Linked DNA regions of Tamandua tetradactyla. The protein of the gene in region 2 interacts with the protein of the main gene of each other region in a biochemical or structural test. Links are inferred from orthologs where the notes say so. Each region holds a gene or a part of one and is shown on either strand. Other genes may lie near its edges.

Region 1 (10,289 bases), on a different chromosome or scaffold from region 2:
ATTTATAGATGTCACCTCAGACTACAAAAATAACATCAGTGCAAGAGTTTAAGATGAATGAACATCATCTGTTGCAGGGAAAAAAGTCGCCCTCTTTTTTCTTCTTTAATTTTTTTTATTGTATAGTATAACATATCTGCAAAGCAAAGAAATAAAAAAGCAATAGTTTTCGAAGCGCTCTTCACCAAGTAGTTACAGGACAGATCACAGAGTTTGTCATGGTCTACCATACGATCCTCTTAGTTTTTTCCTTCTGGCTGCTACAGAATATAGGAGGTTAGAAGGTTTAAATATTTTTTAATCATCACAAATTGACTTTTATTCCTTTTTTAAATGCATAATAACATGTATAAAAAAGCTATAAATTTCAAAGCACAGGACAGTTAGCTGCAGAACATATCTCAGAGTTTAACATGGGTTACAGTTCTACAATTTTAGGTTTTTACTTCTAGCTACTCTAAAATATTGGAGACTAAAAGAGATATCAATTTAATGATTCAATATTCATATTCATTTGTTAAATCCTGTCTTCTCTGTATAACTCCACCATCACCTTTGATCTTTCCATCCCTCTTTTTAGGGGTGTTTGGGCTATGCGATTTAAAATTTTTCATATTGGAATGGTCTGTCACTAAATGGAGTAAGGAGGTGTAACTATCTGATGTTCTAGAGAGGCTGGGCTAGGTTTTAGGACTTATCCGGATCAAGGACCTTTCTGGAGGTTGTAGGTTTCTGGAAAGTTATCCTAGTGCCTGGAACCCTTGGAATCTTATATATTGCCCTAGATGTTCTTTAGGATTGGCTGGAATGGTCCTGGTTGGGGGTTGGCAGGTTATGATAGGTAGCAAGGTCTACCTGAAGCTTGCGTAAGAGCAACCTCCAAAGTAACCTCTCGACACTATTTGAACTCTCTCTGCCACTGATACTTTATTAATTATACTTCTTCTTCCCCTTTTGGTCAGGATGTAATTGTTGATCCCATGGAGCCAGGTCTGGATTCATCCCTGGGAGTCCTCTTCCATGCCACCAGGGAGACTTTTGCCCCTGGATGTCATGTCCCACTGTAGTGGGGAGGGCAATGATTTCACTTGCAGAGTTGGGCTTAGAGAGAGAGAGGCCACATCTGAGCAACAAAAGAGGTCCTCCAGAAGTAACTCTTAGTCATGCCTATAGGTAGGCTAAGCTTCTCTGCTACCTGCATGACCTTCACAAGAGTAAGCCTCATGATCAAGGGCTTGGCCTATTGATTTGGGTGTCCCTGAAGTTTGACACAGTATCAGGGGATTCCCTGATGATAAAGTTTATTAGTTCCATAGTCTTTGTCCCATCCCTAAAGGGACTTTGCCAATACAAACGTTACCCTCTTTTAAAATATTCTGTTAACACTGTAGGCTTCTTGGCTGAACTGTCCTTCTATCCAGTATTAGAATAAGGCCTGGATTGAGCCTAGTGCTTACTGCTTGCTTACTTACTTCTCTTTTCCCTTTGTTTGTCAGTTGTCTCCTGCAACAAATGTCTCTTTAGGATATTTGAACCTGCCTGGATATGTTCTTCTCTTTGCTTCTGATGTGTGGCTAACTGCTATCTCTGAGGACGACAGTATTATTGTAGTACTTGGTATATTGTAGATAATATAATATGTGTTTGTTGGATGAATGAATGATTGATGACCAAGGGAGAAGGCTTTTATCATATTCCATTAGAGGCTGTGTGGCCTCTACTGGTTACTATGTAATTCAAAGGAAGTCATCTTTTTTATAAATAGATGTTTTTGTTAATTCATAATAACTTAAATTTCTTTGCAGATGCACTTCCCCTCCATTCTGATTAATCCATAAACCAATTACCCTGTCACCAGATGATTGAAAATTGACTCTACTAATGGTTACACCAAAGACTTTAGATGGAACTCCAAATATAGTCTCATTGTCCTTGAGCTTATGATTCAACTGGTGCACTTGGCTCCAAAGCCCTGTTTAGTGCCTGTACAGCTCTTTGCTACCCTCCTCCCCCCTGCCCCCCCCAAAATAAAACAAAACAAAACTTTTCTCCTCCGGGGAGCAAAAGGTAGGTAAAAAATTATGTGAAAAGTATGAAGATTTGTGGGAGTCTACATTAAGTACCCAAGGTGGAAAAAAATTTAAATTGGAGCTTTTTATTCATTATTCACCACGTATTTGAATGCTTTCTATTTGTCTGGCCTTGCCATCATGGAGTTTGCATTCTAGTGGGAGAAGACACATTAAGCAAATAAATATATATCAGGTAGAGAAAAACAAAGCAGAGAAAAAAGAACAGAGAGTACAGTGGGAGGAGATTTGCTATTTATATATGCCTGTCAGCCCTGCAGGAACAAAGGAACTGTATCAGTCTGGGTTTAATTAGGAGTCAGAAACAACTCAGTGATTTAAAAATAATTACTAAGCCATGATAAAAGAAGAATCAAAAGCTATAAGAGAACTCTATATGATGCTGCTCTAAGGCTGGGGTAGAGTACCCAAGCTAAGACAAAGTTGAAAAAGGGATCCCTCCCTGGGGATTTCAGACCTTATTGGAGAAGGTGTCATTGCAGCCCACTTGATGGGTGAGAAGTTGAATGTTTGCTTGGTTCAGATATTCTGGTAAACAGTCATTTGGCAGGTAAAAAGTAATCCTCTGAGGTGCAGGTGAGCCATAGCTGGTTGCCAGGCACACAGTGTGCGGTGGACATGGAAATACCAGTATGGGTGGGGGGCCCAGAATGCATGGTGTTCATCATGGGGAGGGCTGTGGTATCAGGAGGGAAGCTGAAAACAAACTCCAGTAGATGCTGGTAAGGAGGAAAAAGTTGGGAAGCTGGACAGACACAAGGCATGGACTACAGGATGTTCATGTCAGAATTCAGAATCAGGAGGGTTATGAGAGAATAATTTATGGGAGTAGGCGAATTTGGGTCCTTATGTAGACAGGAAGCCTGGATCATGGGATGTCCACATTGAGTGAGGCCAGTGACAAGGTTGCCAAGGAAACCACCATGTCTTCTGAGTACATGGCTAGGGCAGCTTAACCTGAGGCTAGATAGCCTCATCCACACTGCTGACCAATGCTGCAGCTGCCAGAAACAGTAGGAAAGCTCCTTCCTTCTCCATTGTCCGTCTAGACTCCTCTAACAGAGAGAGCTTAACATTATGCTCACTGTAAAGGAATAATGCTTAAAGGAATTTCACCCATTATCACAGAACATGTAATAAAGAAGCAATAAAGTGATAAATGACACAGGAGCTAAGTTATGTGGAAATCTGCAGGAAGAGCATTCCAGGCAAAGGTAAAAATAAATGTAATGTCCCTGAAGCAAGGTTTCCAGTGACTAGCCAGGAGAGAGTGTTGCCAGAGATGATTTCAGAAAGGGATTGAATGGAAGGCCTAGTAGAAAATAGTAAAATCTGAATTTTATTCTGAGCAAAATGGGAAACCAATGGAGGGTTTTGAGCAGAGTAATATAATTTAGGATTTAAGAGTCTCTCTAGTCGCTATGTTGAAAATAGACTGAAGGAGGCCAGAGCCAAAAGAGGGAGACCAATTAAGGGTATATTGCAGTAATGTAGGCGAAAGTGGCTTAGACTGTGAAAGTAGCTGTGGAAATGGTATGCAGTAGTTGAAGTCAAGATAAATTTTGAAGGTAGATCCTTCAGGATTTGCTGATGGATTAAATGTAGGTATGAATGTAAGAGAGGACTGAAAGATGAGTGCGAGGTTTTTGGCCAAGTAACTGCAAGAATGGAATTGCCATTTACTGAGGGGGAATAGACTTTGGGGAACAGGACGTCAGTACTTCAAGTTTTGAATATATGAAACTTTGATTGAATAGAAAAGAAGAGATGTTGATGAGGCAATTGCATATGAGTTTGCAGTTCAGGAAAGATTTGGAGGGAACTATGGGATTAAGGGAGGTTTTTTGTCTATAATTTCTTTCTTTGAAGTTAATAAAACTATTTTTATAACAGTTCTAGGTTTATAGAAAATTGAGCAGTTAGTATAGAGAGTTCCCATGTAATCCTGTCTCTTGCACACAATTTCTCCATTAACATTTTCTATTAGTATGGTACATTTGTTGCAATTGAACCAATGTTGATACCCCTATTAACTAAAGTCCATAGTTTATGTTAGGGTTCACTCTTTGTGTAGTACAGTTCTATGGGTTTTGACAAATGTGTAATGTTATGTATAGAATTTACAATATCAATAAGAATAGTTTCACTGCCCTAGAAGTGGCCTGTGTTCTACATATTCATCCCTTCCTCCTTCTTCCGCACCCCAAAGCCCTGGCAGCCACTGATCTTTTTACTTTTTCTATATTTTTGCCTTTTCCAGAATGTCATAACATTGGAATCAAATAGTATGTAGCCTTTTCAGACTGCCTTCTTTCACGAAGCAATGTAAGTTTAAGATTCCTATGTCTTTTTTGTGACTTGATAGCTCATTTCTTTTTTTTTTTTTTTTTTTTTCCTGGGTTTATGGTCTGGAAATCGAACCTGGGTCTCCCACATGAAAGGTGAGCATTCTATCACTGAACCACCTGTGCACCCTCATTTTTTTATTGCTAATAGTATCCCATTGTATGGATGTATCACAATGTATCCATTCACCTTTTTAAAAATTTTTTATTAATAAAACCAATCAACATACAATATGAACATTCTTTTCTTTCATCACATAGTTGTATATTCATCATCATGATCATTTTTTAGAACATTTGCATCAATTTAGAAAAATAAAACAGAAAAATTCATATGTACCTACCCCTTAACCCCCCCTTTCATTGATCACTAGCATTTCAATCTACTAAATTTATTTTAACATTTGTTCCCCCTATTATTTATTTTTAATCTATACATTTTACTCGTCTGTCGATGAGGTAGATAAAAGGAACACCAGACACAAGGTTTTCACAATCACACAATCACATTGCAAAATCTGTGTCATTATACAATCATCTTCAAGAAACATGGTCACTGGAGCACAGCTCTACATTTTCAGGTAGTTCACTCCAGCTTCTCCACTACACCTTAACTAAAAAGGTGATATCTGTATAATGCGTAAGAATAATCTGCAGGATAACCTCTTGACTGTTTGCAATTTCTCAGCCATTGACACTTTGCTTTGTCTCATTTTGCCGTTCCCCCTGTTGGTCGAGAAGGTTTTCTCAATCCCTTGGTGCTGAGTTCCAGCTCATTCTAGGATTTCTGTCCCACGTTGCCAGAAAGGTCCACACCCCTGCGAGTCATGTCTCATGTAGAGAGGGGGAGGGCAGTGAGTTTGCTTGTCATGTTGGCTGAGAGAGAGAGGCCACATCTGAGCAACAGAAGAGTTTCTTTCGGGGGTGACTCTTAGGCCTAATTTTAAGTAGGTTTAGCCTATCCTTTGCAGGGTTAAGTTTCATATGAACAAACTCCAAGATTGGGGGCTCAGCCTATTGCTTTGGTTGTCCCCACTGCTTGTGAGAATATCAAGAATTCTCCATTTGGAGAAGTTGAATTTTCCCCCTTTATCACATGTGCTTGATTCATATGGACATAAGTTTTCAATTCACTTGAGGCAATTTTTAAGGGTGGCTCACTGTATTATTATATGGTAAGACTATATTTAGCTTTGTAAGAAACTGTCAAACTGTCTTGTGAATTGGCTGTACTATTTGGCATCCCCACCAGCAGTGAATCAGAGGTCCTGTTGCCTCACAGCCATATCAGTATTTGGTATTGTTATTTTAATTTGCAGTTCTCCAATGACATATGATGTTAAGTATCTTTTCATATGCTTATTTGCTACCTGTGAATCTTTTTTGGTGAGATGTCTGTTTAGATCATTTTGCCCATTTTTAATTGGGTTGTTTATTTTCTTGTTGAGTTTTAAGGGTTCTTTGTATATTTTGGATATTGTAATTTCTTTAAACTTTTGAGACTATTTTGATTTATTTGCTGTTGCAAGAAGTGTTAGCGGGAAATCCCTTTACTCTGCTTTCCCCACATTTTAACGCAACTCTTATAAAACTACAGTACAGTATCACAACCAAGTTATTGACATTGTTAGTCAAAACACAGAACATTTCCATCACCACAATGATCCCTCCTGTTGCCCTAGACATGACCCCCTTCTTCTTCTGCCCCACCCACCAGCTTTTTAACCCCTGGCAATCACTAGTCTGGTTTCTATTTCTATAATTTTATCATTTCAAGAATGTTATATAGATGGAATCATATGGCTTTTAATTTGGGGAGATTGGCTATTTTCACTCAGTATACTCCATTAAAGTTTGATTCAGGTTGTTGCTTGTATCGATAGTTTATTCTCTTTTTGTTGCTGAGTAGAATTCCATGGTTTAGGTATGCAGTTTGTTGAACATTTCACCAGCTGAAGGACATCTGGGTCGTTTCCACTTTTTGGTTATTACAAATAAAGCTGATAGAAACATTCCCTTTACATTTTTGTAATCCAGGGAAGGAGAAATTCAATATGTTGTTTGAAATTCTGACTTACTACTTTAGTCATTTAATTTTTGCTTTCCTCAGGTGGATGACAGTCCTAGTCTTTTTTTTTTTTTTTTTTGGAATGGGCAGGCACCAGGAATTGAACCTGGGTCTCTGGCATGGCAGGCGAAGAACTCTGCCTGCTGAGCCACCGTGGCCTGCCCGGTAGCAGTCTTTTAAAGTTAATTTTGTTGAAAGTATTAGCTTTGGAAAAAAAAAAAGCCTAATGTATTATGAGTCTCTAGAGAAACAGAACCAACAGAAGATACCTGTGAATACAAGATTTATAAAATATCTCATGCCACCACAGAAATGCAAGAGTCCAAAAGGGGCAGACAGTGAGACTGGCAACTCCATTGAAGGTCTTGACGAACTCTATAGGAGAAGTTGGCTGGCTGGCTTTGAAGAAGCAGTGAAAATTCTCTTTTCTCCTTTAAAAGTCTTCAACTGATTGAATCAAATCCAACTGTTTGGGTTGTTTCATTTGTGGGAGGCACACCGTTAGTTGATCGTGGGTGTAATCAGTCACAAATGCAATCAACTAACTGATGATTAAATAAACCAGCCTTCTGGTTTATCAACCAGACATGGAATATTCTTGCAATAACGATTAGGCTAGTACTTGCCTGACCAGACAATTGGGCTCCATCAGCTGGTTAAGTTGACACCAGAAGTTAACCATCAACTAATTATATCAAATTCATTCTTCCCTAGTCAAGTTATATTACAATTTTATGCTTCTGTTTTATTGAGTACTATTTCAGTCTTGACTTTCTGAAATTTACCCTGTTATCTTGATTAGCCTAGGATCTAGAACAATGCCTGGTACTGTAAGATGTTTAATAAATATTTATTGAATCAATCTGGTACATAGTAGATGTGTAATATTTACTGAATCAGTGGATATTCTCAGCTAAACAGTCACAAACACTTCTTGGCATTATATTTCTAGGTCATAACATTAATGACATCTACTATTTGTAAATTTTAATTCTTATAAGGTATTCTCATATTCAGGTTCTTCGACTTTATTTAACTTTGTTCCTATATATTAACAAAGATCAGACATTTACTTTTTAAATTATTAATACTGAAAAGTAGTTAACACTATCATGCCATGTTTTTAACCTTTATTAAGCTGTAGTGCCAAAATTTTAGCAAAGGCTATCATGTCCGGGCTTCTGTGGTTGTGAATCATATCTTAACTCTTTCTTTGGTTTTGGATTTGTGGTTTCTTGAGCTAATATAATTGACATAAAAAGTGAGTGTTGCTCGGCATTTCCTTTCTTTTAAAAGTATATTCGTTGTTTTATAGTAATGGTTTTTCTCCAAGAAAACTTTTCTCAGCAGTCTCACCTAATCATCTGCTTAGGAATGAATACCCAACTGTATGAACTAATCCCAGATTGTTTTATTATTAAACTATTTATTACTCATGTTTTGCTTTTTGCTTTATTTTGAATATTCCCATAGTTCTTAAAATAACTCTATTGTGGGCTGGCCACGGTGGCTTAGCAGGCAGGAATGCTTGCCTGTGATGCCAGAGGACCCGGGTTCAATTCCAGGAGCCTGCCCATGTAAAAAATAAATAAATAACTCTATTGTGACTCGATCTTTTGCTATTACTAGACATTTCCCTTTAGGTCATTCATTCTCCACCCACTTTGGGAGATGCAATACTTTCCCCTTGATTGGTTTCTTCTGGCTGCTGAAATGCATGAGTAACTGTCACATGCATGTGGTATTGCTTGTCAGAGGGTGGAATTCTAAGACTTCCTCATTACATAGGACACTTGAACTTTTTACTTCTGGGAAGAGGTATGATCCTTGGGACAGTCCTGCTTCCACATAATGGTTATGACAGAGATGAGGATATAACTCTTTGCTGTCTCTGCAGTGAGGCCTCAGAATCTGCTTTACCCAACTTCACAGGTATCGTTCAGAGGTGATTGTTTGGGGGGAAGATAAGTAACCACAGAAATCAAGTGTGAATGGAGATTTTTTAAAATTAATCTTTACTATTGTTATCTTCATTGTTGATCAGTGACGGTTCATGTGCTTTTTTCTTGGTATTTGTAGTATGATCTCAATGAATACTTATTGAATGAAAGAATGTATAATATACAGTATTTTAATGCATTAAGATGTGTATAGCTTCCCCCTATGTAGGACATGACTCCCCGGGATAAGCCGGGACCCAGCATCAAGGGATTGAGAAAGCCTTCTTGACAAAAAGGGGGAAGAGAGAAATGAGACAAAATAAAGTTTCAGTGGCTGAGAGATTTCAAACAGAGTTGAGAGATTATCCTGGAGGTTATTCTTACACATTATATACATAACGCTTTTTAGTTTATGGTGTGTTGGCGTGGCTTGGAGGGAAGTACCTGAACTGTTGAACTGTGTTCGAGTAGCTTTGATTATGAAAAAAGACTGTATAAACGTACAGCTTTTACAGTGTGACTATGTGATTGTGAAAACCCTGTATCTGATGCTTCTTTTATCCAGGGTCTGTACAGATGAATAAAAAATAAATAAGGATAACAAATAAATAAAAGGGGGAGATAAAGGCTAAAAATTGGGTAGATTGAAATACTATGGGTCAATGAGAGGTAGAGTAAGGGATATGGGATGTATGAGTACTTTTTTTTTTTTTTTCTGAAGTGATGTAAACATTCTAAAAATTATTATGGTGAAGAAAACACAACTAAGTGATGATATTGTGAGCCATTGAATATGCGGTATAACTGGACTGTGTGTGTATATATTTCTCAATAAAAATATATAATTTTAAATACCAGTACCCCTCCCCCAAAAGATACGTATGGCTTGATGTGAAGAACTTAAACCACATTAAAAACTGTTGAATAATTTATCTAATTACCTTACATAGTTTTTAACAGGTAAAAATATTAGTAACTTCTAAGAGAATGTTGTAATCAGATAAAGTAGAATTCTGACAAGATGTCTGTAAAATAATTGAAAATGCCTAAATTGAAAATTTTATATATTAATTTATCCAATTTCTGTGTGACAGATTTCTGGCTAAACTGATAATAGTTATTGAATGACTAGTAAAAGTGTCTTTAATAAAATTAAACATTAAGGAATTCTCTGAATTTGAGTTCAAGTTTTATTATTTTGGATTTTAACTTGTTTAATCCTGATAATTTACTTCTTACAAGCTATTTCTGTACCTTTTCTTGATAATCATAATGTGTTTCTGCTCCAAGTTTCTGCTGTGCCATAGTGAAACTCATGGTCTTCTATTTTCTTATTTAAGTCTTCTTTGGTCTACCTCTATTTAAGTATTTAAATGAAAGATTAACTCATTCTCTATTTAAGATACCAATATATATTAGCAACTTTACTGTGTTCAAAAATAATACATTTCTAGTCTAGACAGTTGTGGGCATAATCCATCTGAATCACGAGACTGTCTGAAGCCTAGAATGAAGAAAGGAGCATAAGACCTTCTTGGTAATACCATGACATTTGCTTATTCTTCCCTTGGGCTGTCTTTTTTTTTTTTTTTTTTGCCCATTTTCCCTAGCTTGCTCTCTTCCATTTAGTTCTTTAATTCTTTATGCTTTAATATATGTTCAAACACATATATTAAACAAGCCTCAAAAAACATTAGGATGAGAAAATTCTTTTTCTTTGGTATTGGTATGGTGGTTAAGATGGTGTTTAAGTGAAGGCATCCTGTGTAGACTGATTGTACAGGAAATTGACCCTCACTACTTTGAGAAAAGAGAAGAAATACAAAGTGGGTAGAAAGAAGGAAGG
Region 2 (10,289 bases):
ACTTTCCCCTCCCCTTTTCTGTTTGTTTTCAATCCTCTGACCCTTGGCTGGCTAGTGAGGTAGGCAGTGGGGAGGAGACTCCAGGGTGTACACAGACACACACAGGCGTACACACACAAACACATACACACACACACAGCCTCACATGCCCCCAAGTTTCAGTGGCTGGTCAATGATTGATTGGCATTTCACAGGTTGTTGGTTTCAGACCCTCAGAGGTCACCTCTATAAGTCAGGGTCTCGCGTTGGGCCTCTTCAGTGCTGGTGGCCACTTCCACAGCCCACAGGCCCAGTAACTGTTGTCCAAAGATCTTCTCAGGCAAATCTCATGCATCTGCCCCTCGGGCCCTTGGCTTGTTACCCTCTGACCTGCAGTCAGGCCCTTCCTTGGTACCCAGCCTCCCTCACTCTAGGCCCCTCTCAAACTCCTCCAACAACCGGCCCTATCCCGCTCCCTGATGTTTCCCCCACTGTCTTTGTCCTTCAGGCATCCTCTTTCCATGGCTCTCCTGCCAGGCCCCGCTGGGAGGGGCAGCAGAGGAGAGAATCAAATCAGCAGCGCCCACCCCTGCCCCCCTTCCTCTCCTCTTGTCAAACACCAGACAAGGTTTTTTCCCCTTCCTTTCTGGCTCTGAATGGGCTCATTCTCTCTAGTAGATTCGGCCCCTCTCGAGCCTCCTCCCCACAGCGTGAGTTCTGACCCCAGCTCCTCCCCCCCACCCCCTCTCTGCCCGGTCTCTGGTTGGCTCCGCCCCTCTGGGCAGCCTTGTATGCCAGCCAGGGGTTTGTTCTTAAGATCTCCAATGCAGAGAGGGGGGCTTGCTGAGGCAGGGCAGGGGTAGAGGGAGGGACTCTTTGTAGAAGGAGGGATTTACCCTGAGAAATCTCCTCTGGCTCCCCCACCCCAGGGGGGTTCATGGTACCCCTTGATTCAGAGCTCTCGAAACTAATGGATGAAGCCAAAGCTTTCAGAAGCCTCAGGTTCTGCCTCTGCTGTGTGGTCTTAGACAAGTTCCTTTACCTCTCAGGATCTCCGGGTTCCTTCCCTGTAAAATGGGGAATGATAACAGCCACCCCTGGTGCCTCGAGGAGCCAGTGTGAGAAGGAAGGTGGATGTAGGACAGAGGATGGCACAGAGAAGGATCCAATAAAGGATGGTACAACAGCAGCTTTCCTGGCTGCACAAGCTTTTCCTAACACAAGGGCTGGGGAAAAGCATGTTCCAGGGGAAAGGGACACCTCAAACCCTGACCCTATGGTAATATCCTGATGGTCTCCCACCAGCTGCACGTGCGATCACCCACGTACCAGCCCTCCCTCGAATATTTCACCACCAAGTAACTCTTGGAACCAGGTCAACACCTTTTCTCCCTGAGGGGCTGAGATGCTGTGGGTTTGAGGCAAGTTAACTAAATCCTATACCCTCTTCCTTAGGGAAGAGGGGCTGGTTTTGCTGGATGTTCAACTTTTTCCTAGTTAACCCTAAAACAGCCCTGGGCAAATTACTTAACTCTAATTCTAATTCTAACACCTAGAGAAAACAGGAATCTTGATGCCCGTCCTGGCGGGCTATTGTGTCCCCAGGAACAATGGTGTTTCCAAACATTTGTGATTATAATCCAAGGAATAAATTCATTTTACATCACGAACTGGAAACTACATACAAAACCACACTTACCCTTACTATGTTCTTACTCCACGGGATGTGCGCCGATCTTTTCTATTACATTCTATTTCTTAAAACAAACAAACAAACAAAAGTCTAGTCTTAATCATTTAAATTGGTTTCGGGGCCCTCTAATGATGAATCTGACCTGCGGTTTGAACAGTACTGGTTAGAGCTGGGGCGGGGGCGGATTTACCATAGGGTTAAGAAAGGTTACAGTTTCAGGCCCCTTATCTGCATATATGTGCATAATTTTGTACTTAATTATTTTCTTTTTTTAAAAATTAATTTTTAAAAATAAATTATAGGTTTACAGAAAAATCATGCAGAAAATATACACCTTTCCTCACACATACAACTTTCCCTATTACTAATAATTTGTATAACTGTGGTATCTTTGTTAAATTGATGACACAATATTCTCATAATTACACTATTAACTATACTCTATGGTCCATTAGCGTTCACTGTTTGTGTTGTACAGTCCTAGGTTTTTTTAAAATTTTTGTTCTAGTACCATATATACAACCTAAAATTTCCCCCTTTGCCCACATTCAAATATATAATTTAGTGGTGTTAATTACATTCACAATGTTGTGCTACCGTCATTGTACTTAAATTTGTATTCATAACTTTGTACTTCTTTTCTTAAAGAGCGTCTCCCACATCATATAAGCTTCAGGCCCCACAAAACCCGGTTCTGCCCCAGTAGAAGGAAATCCAGTCGATTTATTGAGCAGCTACTATGTGCCGAGTCCTGTGCTAAGTGCTTCAGGAGCGTTATTTCATTTACCCCCTAGCACAGTAGGCCTGATGCCATTACAGACTCTATTTTACAGATGAGCAAACTCAGAAGACTCGGTCACTTGCCCAAAGTCATAAAGCTAACAAACAGGTGGTAGAGTCCAGAGATTTGAACCCAGGTCATTCTGATCCCAGAGCCCCTGCTGCTCTCAGCCTCCCACAGGTGTTCGGCACAAGTAAGCACTAAGAAATTCTAGTGTCCTTCATTCTCCAGTCCCCAGCAGGTGTCCTGATCCCCCTCTTGGTCAGCACAGATGTTGCTCCTGGCTACGGTATTCCAAGAAGACTTGCCAGATTTAGCAAATAAAATAAGGAAGCCCAGTTAAATTTGAATTTCAGATAAACAACGAATAGTTTGTTATTATACGTGTGTCCCACGCACTACTTTGTGGGAATTTCCAACAAAAACATGCCTCCTTCCCTTTCAACCCCCTCTCCTCCCCCATCACTCGGGGTCTTAAGAACAGGGTCAGGGGTCCAGGTGGAATGCAGGGTGGGGAGCTGCAATGGAACAGGGTAACAAAAGGCAGGGGACAGAGCAGAAACCTTGAATGAATTGGGGACTGGGAGCCCCATAAAGAAACAAGAGGTATATCCTTTGAAGGATGCGGCTGAAGTCCCCTCTAATTTGAACTCTTCTCCTCAAATCTGTAGATTCCCTTACAACCAGCTTTTTAGACTAGGGAAGATAGCTAAAAGAGTCCAGAGGCTATGCCAGGCAGTCCTGGAAGCCAGAAGTTAAACACAAGGCATCCCCTTCCTTAAGTACCAATTTCACCTGAGGATATGGTGGGAAAACCATTATTTGATATTAGGACAAATAGGCATGTGATGGAGTAGGATGCAAACACGCCAGGAATGTTTAAGATAAACCTGCAACTTAGAAGAGAGGGAAGGGATGGCAGCCGGGCCTTAAAGAATTGGCCCCAGAATCCGGGGAGAGGCGGACGAGCCCCTCTCCTCTGCTTTTAGGGGTTCTTCGTGGAAATGGTTGGGATCGGCTGTAGGAAACCCAGGCGTCCGGGCGCTGGGAGGGGCCCCCGGCAGGCCTGCGCGGAGAGAGGGAGAAAGTGAAGCTGGGAGTTGCCACTCCCAGAGACTTGCTGGAATGCAGTTGGGGGGGGGGGGGGGCGAGCTGCGAGCGCGCTCGCTCCCAATCACTGGAGGAGGAGGAGGTGGAGGAGGACGGGCTGCCTTGAGGAAGTGCAAGAATGAAGTTGTGGAGCTGAGATTTCCCTCGACCGTGGCCAGAGAGACGAGAAGAAGCCCCCCGAGGCCTCCGCACGCCCCTCCTCCGGCTGCCGGGTTCCGCGCGGAGCGCCCGGCCCCCTTCTCTCGCCTGCCCGGCGCCCCCCAGCCTGGTCCAGCCGGAGCCATGGGGCCGGAGCCGCTGTGAGCACCATGGAGCTGGCGGCCTGGTGCCGCTGGGGGCTCCTCCTCGCCCTGCTGCCCCCCAGAGCCGCGGGCACCCAAGGTGGGTCTGGCGTGGGGAGGGGATGGAGCAGCGACAGAAGCCCCTGCAGCCTGCGTCCCCCCTGAGAGCTCCCCGGACGCGCGGGGGCAGGGGACACCCGAGCTGTCCCGACCTGGAGTAGTGGGCACTCGGGGCGCTCGGGGTGGCCGGGCCTTGGGACAGAGGGAGGGGGCGAAGTAGTTGGGGCAGGGGGGCGATCGCACCCACGCAGCCGTAGTCGAGGGACCGACTGGCCCTTCCCAGACTCCAAACTGCTCTGCGAACTTGTCAGCAAAGTCCTTTGGAATTGTTCAGAAAGCTTCTCCCCCAAGGGTATACTGCGTGGTGTGCGTGGTGTGTGTGTGTGTGTGTGTGTGTGTGTGTGTTCCCCTTCTTGAACCCCTTGAAGCCTTCGCAGTTTTTCCAGTTGGCAGCCTCCGCCTCCCGACTGGTCTGGGCTGGATTCCTTTGGGGGTCCCCTCCGCCCTGTCCCTGCCCAGCCCTTCCCCCCTCCTCCCCTCCTCCCCTCCAGCAGCTAGAATTTGGTGACTCCAGCTCCAAGCAGGGTCCGGGTGTAGAGGGGGGAGGCGGGGAGAGCAACCTGTCCAGCCCAGGGGGAGGAGGGGGGGCAGGAGGCTGCAGAGTTGCCTTATGCTGGGGTCTGGAGTAGGGGGAGGGAGAGGCGGGTCGTTTTGAACAAGTTTCTTTAGGGCCAACTGACTGGGGGCCTGGGTGTTTTGTGACTTTGGGAGCGTGTGTGTGTTGGCGGTGGTGGGTCTGGGACCTGAAGTGGGAGAGTTCCGAGGGAGGGATTCCGGGGCTCTTGTGGGGGAGGCTGGGCTGTCTGGCAGCCTTTTCTTTCATGCCCTGTGTGGGGAAGGGTGATGTGGGGGGCGAGGTGTGTTCTGCGAGGAGTATCTGCCCACCTGTAGGTGATGCTGAGAAACGCAGACGTGTCCCGGTGGTACACCCTATGTCAGGTCCTGGTATGGCGTCCTGTGCGCATTCCCTCCTTTCACCCTCAGCCACCCAGTGGGAGAAGTCCTGTTTCCATTGTCCTGGTGAAGACCTGGACCGTAAGGAGGCTCAGTAACAGCCGGGAAGTGGTGGGGCCCACCCCTGACCCCAGCCAGCCTGACCCCCAGCCTCATTCTCAAAATCACTATATTCAATCAAAGGGGAAATCAATCCCCCTTGAATGGTGGGAGCTGCTACCCGCATCACCGGGCTGGAGGGAAGACAAAATGAGAGTGTTCCGACAGTAGTGGGTGGTCTCCCCGGGTCAGGGAGTCTGGTGTGGGCCGCGTGTTGCCTGAGGGCCCCTCTGTCTGGGCATTGCTGTGTTGTCTGGAGAGTTCCTGTGGGTGTCCGAAGCTGCCCGCTTTTGCCAGGGTGTTCCTGAGTTGTGTGGACTGAGTGTTTGTATGTCTCTGCTCTGTGTTGCCAAACAGCAGTCTCCCTGCCCCCTTGGGGACTGGGCTGAACTCTGCCCTCTCAAGGAATTCCCTCAAGGTGCTGGGCTAGATCGGTTGTAAACAGCGGGAGGTGGCCTCCTGCCTTGTCTCTGAGGAAGGAGGCGCCTCTTTCCCGGTGAGCCCGTCCTCTTTCTCCCTGAACCCAGGCGGACGTCTTCACCCCTGACCTTCTGAGGAGAAGGGTGAGGCCAGGCTTGGCGATCGGGCCGAGTTGCTATCCTCCTTGCCTTGGCCTGGGAGTTGAGCAGGTGGGGAGCGGCGGGGTTGCTGCAGAGCGATCTGAGGAGCTGTCTCCTGGGGTCTCCTCGCGTCTCCCTCACCCCTCAGCTTGCACTGTGGGGTGCAGAGAGAGACTCTGGGTGCGTTGTATAGGGATTGGCTAAAATGGCAGCCCACCACCCAGCTGCCTCCAGCACCCCCATTATTGTCCATGGCTGAAGGAAGGGGCAGGAACATGGGGTGGAGGGGAGACTTGGGGAAGGCTCAGAGGGTCAGGATTTTGCTGAGATCCTTTCTGCAAGGTTTTATAAAATTTCAGCAAACACATCCTTTTTATCTTGCACAGCTCATATGTTATTATTTCCAGAATCGTTCTCCCAGCAGCCTCCTTCCTTCTTTTTACTATACTTAGGGAAAGTGACCTCATTTTAATATTCAAGAGAAAACAATAGAAAGATAGGATCAAATGTCAAAAGAAAACATCTATCCCATTCCAATGTCAAATAGGAAGCACTTTTTATTTTCTCTTGGTTTGGGATTACCCATGCTTCTGCCTTAACTTTAAAAAATGTCCTGAGTGTTTCCTACGTGTCACCTTCTTACCCACAGACAGTTTCATTTCACCTCTGCAAAGGTCCTGCGAAGTATGTGCACAGATTGGAAAACTGAAGTTCAGGGAAATGAAGCGGTTTATTCAAGCCAGCTAATCAGTACCGTCCAGGGCATGTTTGGCTCCAGAGAGGAGGTCTCAGCAGTAGATCAGAGACTTATTCCATTCCCCGGGAATGGGTTGAGCAAAGCCCATTCAGGTGGATGACCTCCCATCGGTTTATCTAGGCTATAGAAAGTGGGGCTGTCTTCCTCCACCCCATCCTGAGCTGGGGCCCTGAGCTCCCTTCCCGGCTGCGGGGTCCTCTCCCTCCCAGGCCAGCCCATGCTTGCCTTCCTTTTGATTTTGAGCCCTCCCATCATGGCAGGGGACTGAGGGCCGAGACCATTGGGTCATGCAGGACTGTGGGCGGAGGGAGACAGCTGGGGCGGAAGTATGAGGGACCAGTGCGGAGCTGGGCTGAGTGGCTGGGTAGGGCCCAGAGTGGTTGTGTCTGACTGTCTGACTTGGGGGTGGGGGGTGGTGGAATGATCTGGAAAAAGATCCCCCTTCCCACCTTCAGCCCGTGGGAAGTCGAAGTCACTCTGGAATGATAGTTCCATCTCTTGCTGGCCACCTGTCCTCCCCACCCCTGGGAAGAGGGCCGAGGCAGGGTGAGGGGTGTGGGTTCCTGGGGGAGTGTGAGAATTATTAGAGCTAAGGTTTGTGTTGACAAAGCCTTGTTGTGTTTATAGACTGCTTTTTCTGTTCATTTTCTCATTTAACTTCTCTGAGGAGACCAAGAGTTGTTTTTATAACCTTCCTCACTGCCAAGTTCAGGTCAGTGAATATTCATCTTTTGAATATCTATAGGGTAGCAGGCACCACAGAGCAGGAAGATGCATCTGATTTAGCCCCTGCCCCGAGGGCTGAGATGAGGAATCCCAGGCTCCTGAGGTCTAGGGACCTGCCCAAAGTCACTGTTGAGTGGCCCAGCTAGGGTTCCACTCCAAAGAGCTTGATATTAGGCCCTATATATCCAGCATATGTGGCTACAGTATCTACAGCAAGCTCTGGCCTCGGGGCTTATGAGTCTTGGGTGGGGGTGAGAGGGTGCATGTAAAAGTTTACCTGGTGATGTTCATAGAAACCAAAGGAAGTGCTGGCTTCCATGCTGGTGAGCAAGAGAAGCAGCTGGGGCTGAAAGCTGGTGGGGAGGAGAGGACCTGCCTGAGGACCCCTGGGGCTGGGACCACCAAAGGTCAGCAGAAGGGACATGAGGGGTGGATGCCATGACCTCCACTGGTCCCGTCTTACTTGAACACCGTTGACTGCTCATTCATTCAGCAGCCACTTATCCAGCTCTCTGTGTGCCCTGTCCTGCCTCTGGCCTGGTCCTGCCTCACACGTCTTTGCCATGGAGGGTTGGAGGTTGGGGCTTCTGGGGGGCAGGTGTCCTGGAGACAAAGAATGTGACTGTGTGAAATTAGGACCTCTAGCACTCAAGAAAATAAATGGGAGAGGGGGCAGTGGCAGGTAGTATGGGATCTGTGGTGAGGACTGGTGATGGGGAAATTAGTGTGGAGCGGGGTGGGGGGTAAGAGGAAGATGGGGAGGTTGGAAAGGCCTTCTTACCTTCATGCCAGGTGGAGGTGTTAGCCAGCAAGCTTACAGCTCCCTGAGAGTAGGTCTCAAGGTACAATTTTACCACCTTTTCTGCAAAAGAATCTTAATCAGACTTGAATCGACCATAAATCAGGTAAACAAACTCCAGTGGGGCCGGGCTCTCACCTTTTCTGATCCTCCTGCCCAGCCATGCCTAGCCCAGCCTCCATGCCCTGCTCAGAGTCTGTAATGTTTATCCGTGGCACTGGGCGAGTGAGTGTGTATTTATGTTTGTGTGGCATGTGGGGTGTATTTGTGCATGTGCAGTTAGGCCTGATGGAAGGAATGTGGGATCTAAAGTCAGACAGACCCAAGTTCAAGCTTTGTGTCTTTGGGAGAATCTAACTCCTGTCACCCTCAGTTTCCTTCTTTGCAAAATAGAGATGGAATTCCCAGCCCTTGGAGGTTGTTATGGGATCCACCCAGGTTGCCTGCTGGGTACACAGTAGGTGCCCAGTTAATGCAGCTGCTCCTAGTTCCCATTGTTGTTGTTTTCCTATTGCCTGGTTGCTACAGCTGGTGTCCCTTGGAGGTGGCAGAGGGCCACAGGGGGTGGAGACAGTCCCTGCCCCAGACCTGCTGGTCCCTGTCCCCCAAGCTCGGGCCAGGGCCTGGGGTCTGGGCCTCGAGACAGCTGTGCCTGTAAAGCAGCTGAAACTGCCGAGGCCGGGGAAGGTCCTGGCAGCAGGACGTTATTTTGGGCCTGGCCTGCCATCCCAGGCTCCTGTTTCTTTTGGGAGTTTTGGGGGGAGGGGCTCAGGAAGGAGGGGGATGCCATGGAGAGGGGGTGAGGCATGGAGAAGGGAGGTCTGACAGTCTCTCTTCAGCCTGGGAGATGAATCCTTGAGTTCTATTTCTGGGCCCTCCCCTTCCTTCTTTTTTGCTTCCTTCCCTCTCTGCCCAGAGGGGTGGAAATAGAAACCCCTCTGGATGTTATGGGGAAGATTACCAGCTTATGGCCACCAGGCCTGGCAGAGACCTGGGGCCTTGTCCCACCAGCCTTTCTCTGAAGGGAGAGAGCCATCACATTAGGATGTCATTGGACTCAAGTTGCTGGGAAAGTAAGGGCCCTGGTGTCAGACCTCAAAGCCAGCCACTGTGCTGTCCCCTCAAATAGACACAGAGTCCACGGGAGGTGAGCAGTGACTGATGGGAATTCCAGGAAGCTCAGGCACCTGTGGGCCTGTCTATCTGAGGGTGCCCTCCACCTCCCTTAAACCCCTCCTGCACACCCTCCTGGGCAAGACATGCCAGGTGATTCATCTCACCAGAGCAGAAAAACGGGTTCAACTGGGCATGGGCTCATCACCCCCCTTCTGGCAGGCAGGATGCCAGCTGCCTCCCTGCGCGCACCGTGCACCCCGGGGGTGGTTTACCCCCTCTAGGATCCCTAGGCTTCGGGGATTCTTCTGGTCCCAGGGACACCAGGCTCGGGGGCGGGTGGGCCAGTGATGGCAGTTCATCCTGCCATCCCTTGACTGAGGATTGGCACCAGGATAGGTACCCAGGGCTGATGTAGTGCCCTTTGTGGCAAGAGTTTCGTGGCATGGGCTCTGCCAGCTGGCTCTGGAGTCTTGCCCTGAGGAGTGGTATGGGGGAGGGTGCCAGCATCTGAAGCAGGCATCATGCTGGCCCTGGATCTGCAGTCTGGGTCTGGATGCCCATAGCTGGGGTATGATGCTCCTTTGCTCCTTCGCCTTGGGGAATTCCAGAAGTCCCTGCAGTGACCGGGTCCTTGGTTGCCCCCATTTCTGCAGCCATGACTCCAGCTGACCGTCCTCCCCCACTTTCTGGGTGGCATTGGGGGAGTGGGTATCTCTTGCCAGGAGACTGGCATGTGGGTGGTGTTGGAATGGAATGGGGAGAATACCCTGAGTTTGTTTGCTTGGGAGACTGTCAGAGGGTATCCAGAAGATTCATGATTCATCCTTTCTCATGGGGGATTTTTTACCCCTCGGCCCTGAGCTAGGGCCTATGGGACAAAGGGAGGCTTTCTTTGCCAGCCAACACCCTGCATTGGGCGGGATTGCAAGCTACATTGGGCTGGCACAGGAGGCGTGCTCTGGATGCTCCCTGGATGGGCCCGACCATCCAACGCCCAAGGTTTCTTCTGTTAACCCTGCAGGTACAAGGGACACAAGAGAAGAGATCCTTGGATTGTGGTTTCTCCCTGTATTGGAAGGCGTCACTTGGGGGTGGGAGTGATGTGTGTGGATGACATGTGGTCAAGTTAGAGACGCTCTGTGCCCTCTGACCCATCTCCCATTCCTCTGCAGTGTGCACCGGCACAGACATGAAGCTGCGGCTCCCGGCCAGTCCTGAGACCCACCTAGACATGCTCCGCCACCTCTACCTGGGTTGTCAGGTGGTGCAGGGAAACTTGGAGCTCACCTACCTGCCTGCCAATGCCAGCCTCTC
Region 3 (10,289 bases), on a different chromosome or scaffold from region 2:
CTCCAAAGAATAAACTAATTAAGGTAATTAAATGCCTAGACGCCAGCAAAAAATAACAAATCACACTAGGAAAATTGAAGATATGGCCCAGTCAAAGGAACAAACCAACAATTCAAATGAAATACAGGAGCTGAAACATTTAATTCAGAATGTACGAACAGACATGGAAAACCTCATCAAAAACCAAATCAGTGAATTGAGGGAAGATATAAAGAAGGCAAGGAAAGAACAAAAAGAAGAAACTGAAAGTCTGAAAAAACAAATCACAGAACTTATGGGAATGAAAGACACAGCAGAAGAGATGAAAAAAACAATGGAAACCTACAATGGTAGATTTCGAGAGACAGAACACAGGATTTCAAAACTGGAGGATGGAACATCTGAAATCCGACAAGAAACAGAAACTATAGGAAAAAAAATGGAAAAATATGAGCAGGGACTCGGGGAATTGAAAGACAATATGAAGCACACGAATATACGTGTTGTGGGTGTCCCAGAAGGAGAAGAGAAGGGAAAAGGAGGAGAAAAACTAATGGAGGAAATTATCACTGAAAATTTCCCAACTCTTATCAAAGACCTAAAATTACAGATCCAAGAAGTGCAGCGCACCCCAAAGAGAATAGATCCAAATAGACATACTCCAAGACATTTAATAATCAGAATGTCAGAGGTCAAAGAGAAAGAGAGGATCTTGAAAGCAGCAAGAGAAAAGCAATCCATCACATACAAGGGAAGAAGCCCAATAAGACTATGCACAGATCTCTCAGCAGAAACCATGGAGGCAAAAAGACAGTGGGATAATATATTTAAATTATTAAAAGAGAAAAACTGCCAACCAAGAATTCTATATCCAGCGAAACTGTCCTTCAAAAATGAGGGAGAAATTAAAACATTTTCAGACAAAAAATCACTGAGAGAATTTGTGACCAAGAGACCAGCTCTGCAAGAAATACTAAAGGGAACACTAGAGACAGATACGAAGACAGAAGAGAGAGGTGTGGAGAAGAGTGTAGAAAGGAAGACTATGAGTAAAGGTAAAAAGAAGGAAAATTAGATATGACATATAAAATCCAGAAGGCAAAATAGTAGAAGAAAGTACTACCAGTGCAGTAATTTTAGCCTTCTGCTGCTCTGTACCTGAGTAACTTCATGAATCCCTTCAACCCACTCCAGGCCATAGATAAGAGTTCAGTAGGTCAGGCTCTTTACTAAGAACCAAAAGTTAATACTCATTTAACTCAATTCTTCTTCATGTGACAAAGTCATTAAGCAAAGGGCATAGGAAACAATGACCTCCTGTTCAGAAAAAATTAAACAGGAGGGGAAAATACATTCCACTCTTCTTTAAAGACTTCAGTGATCCTAATGAATACAAATTTCTCATTCTTTGGCACACATCCACAACCAAGGACCCTTTGCTCAGACTTCACTCATGACATATATTTTAATCTAACCTATCTTATAGTACTTGATTTACTTAACTTTGTTCTAAATCTAAAACTCCCCAAAAGAGGGATTCATTGAAAAAAAAAAAGAGGTATTTTATTCATTGTTGTTATCACTGAAGCATTAACGACATTGTTCTACTATTCACAAAAATACAATAAAAATCATCTGGGTCCTCGTCAGCAACTACTCTGTGTATAACTAATATTTGTAATTCTCACCTCCATTTTTATTAAGAAACGACTCACTCAAAGTTGTACTGCAGTCAGTGACAAAGTTAACTGACCTTACGCGTCCTAACATTACAGCAACTGTTTGACTTAATTTAGAACGGTTTTATTTTTGCAGAGACTACAAGATGATTTTTAAGGAAAAGAAAGGTACTATTTACATTCTTATACATTCCCTTACTTTTTTTTCCTTCAAGTTTCAGGACAGTAAACCCGGTAAACTGGATATTTATTAGTTCAGAGTAAGAACAAGCCAGGTGCCAGGCAAGCAATATCAGAAGCAAAGCAGGCCTGGAATAGATTATGGCAACTGGAGAGCTCAGAACCCACCTAAAAAGGGAGACTACTATTCAGCTCTAGTAATCTACTGTCATGTAGAAATACCCACCAGATATAGCCACACCCTGTGATCTTTCAAGAGATGCTAGAAATCCAGACTTCTTACATGTGAAATCACTCTATTTTTAAATGCTGGGCAACTAATTATTAAATATTCCAAATATGTAAGTACAAGTAATAGGTATCTGTGTATTTGTCATTATAACTACAGTGCTAAGCCCAAGAGCCACATGGTACTGTAGCCTCACTGTTAAAAATCTCTACATATGGCTGAAGGTGGACTGGGAGAACAATACTTCTTTACCACCACCTTACCCCTATGGAAAAAAGAAAGAGTGAAGCAGCTCCACAAAATTACAGGAAATGCCAGTGACAAACTCCTTTAATTTAACCTTTTCTCTCTAATGAAAATGAAATTAGCAGTATTAGATACAGAACCCTTCATAGCAGAAAAAAAAGATGAGATGAATTATTTCTCTTTTAAAAGTTTTTTTCTCAAAACTTGGTAAAAGGAAAATATTCAAATAAATGTAATAGTTAAAATTAAACTTTTCCAACCCTAAACTAATGAAAATACTCAGTAGTAAATATGAAACTAATGAGTCACAGTGCACAACAGAAAATCAAGGTACAAAATACTACTACTGTTAATACATTTGCACTGGTCTATCTACATACTGTCACTTGACTCTCTTGTGACCAACAATACAAAATCAGCTGGATACAAAGTTAAACTCTGTGACTAAGGAACCTTAGTCTAACAAACCATTTCTGGACTCAAATCTGTGATCTGAACCTCCTTAATACCTAGATGCTATCATTAACTAATGTGATTAGTCACTATTAATCAAATATTAATTTAGTCTAAAAATATTTCTTCAGTATTTTTTCAAAAGATTTGACATTTTTAACTAAGTTAAGACTTTTCTCCTCTTCAATTTAAAAATAGGAGCTTATAGAAAACACTTGAACGTCACCACTGAAATTGCTTAACCTATTCCTGGAAGCCTTTATTAAGCTAAAAAAAATGTTAATATAAGTAATCACGGTAAACTTATAGCACATAGTATAAGTTTTTGGAAATCAAAAAACATTCTCTAAGGGTGGTGGCAACAGTGGCTCAGTGGCAGAATTCTCGCCTGCCATGCCGGAGACCTGGGTTGGATTCCTGGCGCCTGCCCATGCAAAAAAAAATGGAGAAAATACCTTCTCTAAAACAGCTATTAATAAGGGAATCCCTTTAACAAAAGAATTAATAGGCAATATAATGATTAAATTATACTATTGTAATTTGCAGGGATTATTTACTGAACACTTACTATATGCCAAACACTGTGTTGAATACTTTCAGGTTTCTCATTAAATCTTCAAAATGACCTTACAGGGGAGGTACCACTATTATCCTCATTCTACAAATGAGGAAACTGACCTTTCCAAGATCACACAGCTACTAAGCGGCAGTCAGGATTCCAACCCAAATGTTGTCTAACTTCAGAATTTGCAAGCTTAACCACTATACTGTATTGCCTCCAGTGACTGAGTTGATATCTAAGATAAAGAAAAAAAGGAAATTTGTACTCCTCAGTGGCAAATTTTTAAAACATAGTAGAAATGGGATACTTTTTAGAACATGAAAAATTCTCATAAATATAGCCCTATTAACATTTTTACTCCGGAACACATATAAGGATAGAAATCTCACACAACAGACTTCTCACAAACATGTTCTATGTTTACTATTAAATACGTTTACGTTTACTGAAAATTTAGAACTATAATATCAAAAATACGCCTAATTCAATTTAGCTGTGAAACAGCATAAGACTAGATTCTGTAGATTCTTTCAGTATGAAAAACTGCACTTTATTGTTAACTACCATGCCAAGCACTTAGTGGACACTCAAATATTCAACTGACTGATTTTTACAACAAAAATTGGAAATTTGCAAGTACTGCTATAAAATTACAAATTTAATAGCCTCAGAAAAGTCTGTAATACATAGATAGGATAAATAAATTGGAATAAAATGACAGGACAAATGAACTTTGCATTAATATAAAGGGAATACAACATCCCCATACTATAGCTGGCATAACTTTACTTTTGTACCTTAAACATCAAAAGATGTAGCCTTAAGTCAAAATATGGATTATTATTACAGAATCTTTTCCTAATCAGTTTTTAAGTCCTTTCTAAATCCTTTAAAGAAGCTTATTCAAAACACTTTCAACTGTCCAGTGATTATCAACATCTGAACTAAGTCTTTTTTCTTCTGATACCAAATTTTTAAAATTCTAAATGTCAATTAAGACTAATGTCAGGGATCCATAAACAAGTTTTACCTATCACCACTTCCCATGTCAACATTTTCCTCTCATCAACATCCATTTTTATAAATACACACCTAAGTCCATTTAAGAAAAGAACAAGATGGGTAATGACTTTTTAAAAAGTCGTTTGTCCTATATACTCTGCAGTAGAATGTCAAACAATTTTCAAATACAATACTAAAATGACCACCAACAAAGGGTTAAAGGGGAAGCACTATTAATTCTGTCTTGCTTCAGCACTGCACTTATTCAGCTATTAAAGAATTACTAATATTAATAAATACCAATTCAATAGAACAAGTTACAGACATTTTTAGAGTGTGGACACTTAACCACACCTGTAATTCACAAAACTCCTTTCCTGCTTCTCTCTGACACAGGTTTTCATAAGTGGTTCAAAGACTTTATTTTTCCAATAGACAAAAATTAGGATTTGCAGTACAACAAAAACAAAACATTCTGACTCATGCATTTTTCAAATGATTTTAACCCAATACTTAAATACTTGTAATTCAAGTATTCTCACTAATCATCCAACTTCAGCAGAGAACACATACGCAGGCTAATACAGACAATGACTGCCTTGGTAGCTGCAATCTCAGCTGAATCCCAGTCCACCACCTGAATTTGGAAGGGGTAGAACCATATCCGGTTCTCACTGAATACACATTTTCCAAAGCTTCCCATCTTAAAAACTTTACATCTTCCCAGAGGAGCAATAAACACACGAAGACGCCAGGGAGCGTGCCTGTAGGGAAGATGAGTGATCAAATTAAATCCCCGCACATGGAACCTGAAGCTTCAAAACTTTTTTTCAAAACAAATAACAGCTGAAAGAACAAGACAGGTTTCCCTCTGCATGCCCCACTTCTTTCTTAGAGCCAGCTTTCCTGGTTCCTTGAGCAGCAGTTTTGACTTACTGGTTAGTTGGAGGAGCAGTCAGGGGGATGGCCACTTCTTCCTCCTCGTATTCTGGTCCATCCAGAGAATCACCTTCGTCCACTGTTCCCAGGCCCGCGCCCAGGGAGGGGAACGGAGGAGGGGGCGGCAGAGGGGGGAATCCTCCTCCTGGCCCGAGGGTCTCGGCAGGCAACGAAGGGATCCCTCTGGTGAGAGCCATGTCCCCACCAGGTCCGGCAGCAGCAGCAGCACCAGCCACGCCAGCAACAGCACCTCCCCCTGTCAGTCCGGCTCCCCCCAGGACTCCCGCCACGGAACCGACTCCTAGGAACCCTGATGCCAAAGCAGCTCCACCACCCAGAGTCCCGGCCACTCCGGCTTCGGCCAGCCCAGGGTAGGGCACGGCTGTTACCGGCAAGGCCGCGGGTATCTTCACCCGACACACTGCCGGATAGGCGCTGGAGCCCGCAGCCCCGCCGCCTCCTCCTGCCCCGGCGGTCACCGGACCGCCCTCCTCGTTCCCGGCCTCGGCCGCCATCATGTTGAAGCCCGCTCTACTCGGCCCTACCCTGCCCGCCCGGGAGCCCCGGGGGCCAGCAGGCCCGGGCTCCGAGTCACCCCACCCAGGCGCGTCCCCTCTTCAGCTCCCCAGGCGGAGGAAACAACAACAAAAGGAGGGAGCCCGCCGCCGCGCCCCCTCCTCGGGCCACAGCCCAGGCTCCGAGGCTGCCCGGGTTACGGGAAGCGAAGTGGGCAAAAAATCCAACGCCTGCACAAATGCCGCCCAAACCTTCACCTCACACACCCACACACGCACACACACACATGCACAGAAGCGAAAAACTTCCTGACTGCACTAAAGAGGAAGGGGAGCACAGGAAAGCGGCTGGGGCGGCCGCCGCTCCTTGAGCCGCCGCCGCCGCCGCCGCCACCGCCTCTTCACCACCCGAGTTCCGGCCACCCCCACCGCAGCCACCGCCGGTGCCGCTGCCCGGGCTGGGGCCACTGCAGCCGCTTCATCCTCCGCGGGGCTGGAGATGGGAGGGGTGTGGAGAGGCGGAGAGAGGGGGGCGGGGTGGTGGAGAAACCGGCGCAGCTGCTCGCCACCGCGAGCTCACAGTTATCTAAACCCGAACGAGAGAAAGGAAGGCGGGGCGGCGGGGGCGGGGCGGCGGGGGGGAGGAAGGGCGGGGTCGGAGGGAGGCGAGGCCAGTCTGTACGCACGCGCGAGCCCGGGGCTGGAGGAAGGGAAGGACGAGTGGAGAGGGGAGGGAAGGAAGCGGCGGGAGCGTGCGGCGCGCGCCCTGGCTCGTTGTCTTCCCCCGGTCCCGGCGCGGGGCAGCCTGGCGCTTTCGCCTGTCCTTGTCCCCCGGCGGCGGGTGTCCTGTCCTTGCTGCACCTCTTGCCGGACGGGACGGCGGCGCGAAGGCAGGCCGGTGCGGTCCCCGGGGACCGCGGGAGGCCAGGGGGAGGGTACCTGAGCACCTGCCGGTGAACGCCGTGGAAACCGGAGAGACGAGAGGGACGAGCTTGCGGTAGAGAGGAAGGAATGGGGAAGGACAAAGGAAGATGCGGAGGAGTCAGTTCCTTCCTTCTGGACCGGTAGAAAACAAGCGGCCTTAGCCAGCGGAGCCGGGGCTCAGCAGTGGACGGGCGGGTGGCTGCGGCGAAGGCCGAGGCAGGACTGTCCATAGTTTATTTTCGTTGAATGATGTAAATTAAAATATGACTATTACAAACTAAAAAAAAAAAAAAAAATTCTGTAATTCAGGAAAAAGCGAAAAAGATAAAGGGGACCAAACGGGGAAGGTGGAAAATTTTGGTAGAAATACCGGTAGTGAAGTCCGACTTCTACCAGTGTATGTGAAGGTTTTGTTTTCTTAACCGACCGTGTCACCCAGACACTGGGGTTTACCTGTGCTGCTGCAGGTCTGTTAGGGACTGAGGAGGGGTGGGACAGGAGAGGGGCCGCAGCCTCCGCTAATCAATGCGCTTGTGTCCGTGTTCCGCCTGCAGAAGACTGCAGGGCATGTCCTGCAGTGCATACATGAATGACTGGGATCCTTCCACAAGGCAAATGTCAAGTAGATCCCAGAGTGCAAGTTATATATAACTTTAAAAGTTAACAATAAACTTGCTTCATATATGTGGAGGTAGTTTGCTGTTTGGGATTCATGTATTTTTCTTGTCTTTTAAATTCCCCCCAGGAGGGCTACCACACTGAATATCATTGAATATTGGCCTTTGAAATCGATATTTCTCTGCTAAGGATGATCAAACCAATATAGAAGCCAGAGAAAAAGGGAAAAAGCTACTTAAATGACAAGGCATACTCAAGACTTTTCTTTGATTTTAGAATTTGTGTAAGCCTGTTTACCAAGTCATTGGTAAGCAAGCTCTTGATTATAATAGTCCTGAGTGCCATTATGCTTACTTTTTCTCCAGTGTACCAGCTGAGAGAGTGAGGAGGGACTAGACCCCAGAGCTGTAGTTATCAAGGGGTCGCTTCTGATCAATTATTTCCAAGGAACTTAGAAATGCAAATTCTAGGTCCCCACCCCAGGCCCTCTGAATCAGAAACTGTGGTTGATAGAGCCTTGGAGTCTGTGTTTTAAGGAATCCTCCAAGTGATTTTTAAACTTAAAAGTTTAAGAACTACTGCACTTGAGTATAGTATGCTAGTCATGAATGAGGTATGCAATACCTAAAAACGTTTTGAAAGAAAGAATACAGGAGGAAGCAGATTCAATGACGTTCATTAGAGGGTGGGTAAGAGAGTTGGGTATTGGGTTGCTAACTATTCTAAAAAAGGAGGTTAGGAACAAAAAAGACCAGAACGTAGTAGTTCCATAACGCTGAAGGAAATAATAAATGACTATGTCTGGTGGCCTTTCTGAGAATAGTCTTCCTTTTATTTAGACTTAGAGCCTCAAAGTTAGAAGAGATCAGGGAAATATATATTTCACCTAAGTCCTAATGTATGAATCCGCCTAAGTCCTAATGTATGAATCCGCAGCAAGTTTCCATGTAACCTTTTCTTGAAGAGCTACAGTGTCTTAGCATCCTTCTCCTCCAACACTTTCTCTTAATTAAAAGTGATCATCTCTAAGTGATCCTACACCATGTGTATTATGTCTGAGAGCCCAGGTCAGGCTCACTCCCCTAATTTGTAGAATTGCTTCTGCTTTTTGAAAATTCGTTAGCAATTAAAGCCTGTGTTTTATACAATCTAACACCAATTATATACTAGCTTAAACTGTTTTCTAAACAGTTAAAGCCAGTGTTAGGCAGCCCCAACACACTGCTTTGAAAAGATCTCCATTCACATAACAAATACTAGATTATTTGATCAGCTCACATCTTTGGAAATCAATTTCTCAACTACTAGCAAGGATGTTCTAAGTCTTTTTGTAAATAACCTAGTACCCATATCTTACCTAGTTTACGTTTAGCTTTATAGTTGGCACTGTCCTTTTCATCCCACGCATTTTTTGACGAGGTATTTTCCAAATATTTTATATATTCTTATTATTGGACAGATTTAGGCCTTGGTTTTACTATTGTTATATACTTCCTTAATATCAAATGAGTCTTCTACCTTTAATGACTTCTAATTTCTTTTGAAAGAGTGTGATATTCCTGCCTCCTTTATCTTTGTTACTTTTTTCCTTTTTCTCCTCACCTTGACCTTCTGCCTTTCTCTGATTTATATGCTTATGTTCTCTTTTTTCCTACTGATTTCTCCCCTAATTCCTACTTATCGCTCCCTTTCCTCTCAACCCCCTAAACTTTCTGATAGATATACTTTATGTGTTTCATGAGTCCAAAACTGCAGACATTTTTTTTAAATACTATGAAAAATCTATTAAAATATTTTTTATATTTTAATATTTTAATAGACATTGCAGGGATTCTGTAGGAATTGGGGTGCTAGGTGTGCTCTTATACAATGTCAGTAAACGAAAGGAAGTAAACAGTCTGTTAAGTAAGTGCACAGAGAGTATTAAACAGGAGGTACTGAAAACAATATTCAAAAGAATACGGGGAAAAATTCAAAATAGCTTTTTAAGTTTAATAAAATAATCTGTAATAGCTGCGATTTTGGAAAAGTTACTGTAGATACTGAAATATGGTTTTTGATGAAGAATAAGTAATCAAAAATTCTGGGCAAAAACTTGTGGGTGAAAAGACATTGAAAATTTAATTTTTTAGAAAATGAAGCTGGCTCATTCTTTATTTATTGGCAACTCAAATATGAACATGATATACTACAAAATATTTTGCAGTTTTTATACCCTAAGTATGAGAAAAGGTAATTCTGAGTTAGTGATATAACATTGTTTCATACAGCCTCGAGGGATTTAGAGCAAATACATAAGTAGATTTGACTGGAAGACTGAGCAAGAAATAATATTTCGTTCCATGCCCTAATGCATACTCAGATGTATAAATAGGCTTCCAATTTTATCTAAATAGTGTAAAAATGTTTCACTGATGCAATAATTTTGAAAAGAAGCTTTTACTCCTAATTTGTAATATTCCCATTGCATTTGTTGACCTTAAAGTTCTCAAAAGGAGGACTGTAGGATGATGGCAGAATATTAAGCTCCAGGAATCAGTCCATCCATGAGAAAAACTGTTAAACAGGCAGCAGCTGTCTGAATCAGCTATTCTGAAACTCAGCAGTCCAGTAAAGCACTGTACTGTATCCACCGAAGAGCAGGAGGAAGAGGCTGCTGAATTATACTCAGATACCTGAAAAATGTTCTCCATGGCAGTTACCAGCATCCATCCCCAACTCTCATAGCAGGCAACAGTGGGGTGCAGTCCCTGCATAACTTTCTGGTGCCAGAAAGGGACATAAAAATCTACTTCGCCAAAATCTAGGGTGTGCACAGGCCAATGGTTTATCACAACATTTTATTAACTACTTCGGATCTCTGGGGGCCCAGTTCTAAGGGTGACCGTTGTTCCAGTGTGCCCTGAACAAAGGCAGTGGAGGGAATTTTAAGGCAGTATACTTCCTCAAAGCTGTGGAGGACA

The links. The genes of interacting proteins can lie anywhere in the genome.
Region 1: the proteins of ERBB2 (region 2) and ABL2 form a complex in vitro, tested with the Homo sapiens proteins (3 studies listed by BioGRID and IntAct, with this or other methods). The link is inferred for Tamandua tetradactyla from reciprocal best matches to the Homo sapiens genes ERBB2 and ABL2.
Region 3: the proteins of ERBB2 (region 2) and RASA1 form a complex in vitro, tested with the Homo sapiens proteins (2 studies listed by BioGRID and IntAct, with this or other methods). The link is inferred for Tamandua tetradactyla from reciprocal best matches to the Homo sapiens genes ERBB2 and RASA1.

What each region holds. Positions count from the first base shown.
Region 1 is NC_135330.1:33,422,050-33,432,338, reverse strand, and holds the start of ABL2 (tyrosine-protein kinase ABL2), read left to right. Parts: upstream 1-4,519; 5' UTR 4,520-8,239; coding exon 8,240-8,435; intron 8,436-10,289. UniProt on the Homo sapiens protein: Non-receptor tyrosine-protein kinase that plays an ABL1-overlapping role in key processes linked to cell growth and survival such as cytoskeleton remodeling in response to extracellular stimuli, cell motility and adhesion and receptor endocytosis.
Region 2 is NC_135332.1:27,582,477-27,592,765, reverse strand, and holds the start of ERBB2 (receptor tyrosine-protein kinase erbB-2), read left to right. Parts: upstream 1-3,595; 5' UTR 3,596-3,871; coding exon 3,872-3,944; intron 3,945-10,147; coding exon 10,148-10,289. UniProt on the Homo sapiens protein: Protein tyrosine kinase that is part of several cell surface receptor complexes, but that apparently needs a coreceptor for ligand binding. Essential component of a neuregulin-receptor complex, although neuregulins do not interact with it alone.
Region 3 is NC_135347.1:44,035,842-44,046,130, forward strand, and holds the start of RASA1 (ras GTPase-activating protein 1), read right to left. Parts: upstream 5,876-10,289; 5' UTR 5,788-5,875; coding exon 5,267-5,787; intron 1-5,266. UniProt on the Homo sapiens protein: Inhibitory regulator of the Ras-cyclic AMP pathway. Stimulates the GTPase of normal but not oncogenic Ras p21; this stimulation may be further increased in the presence of NCK1.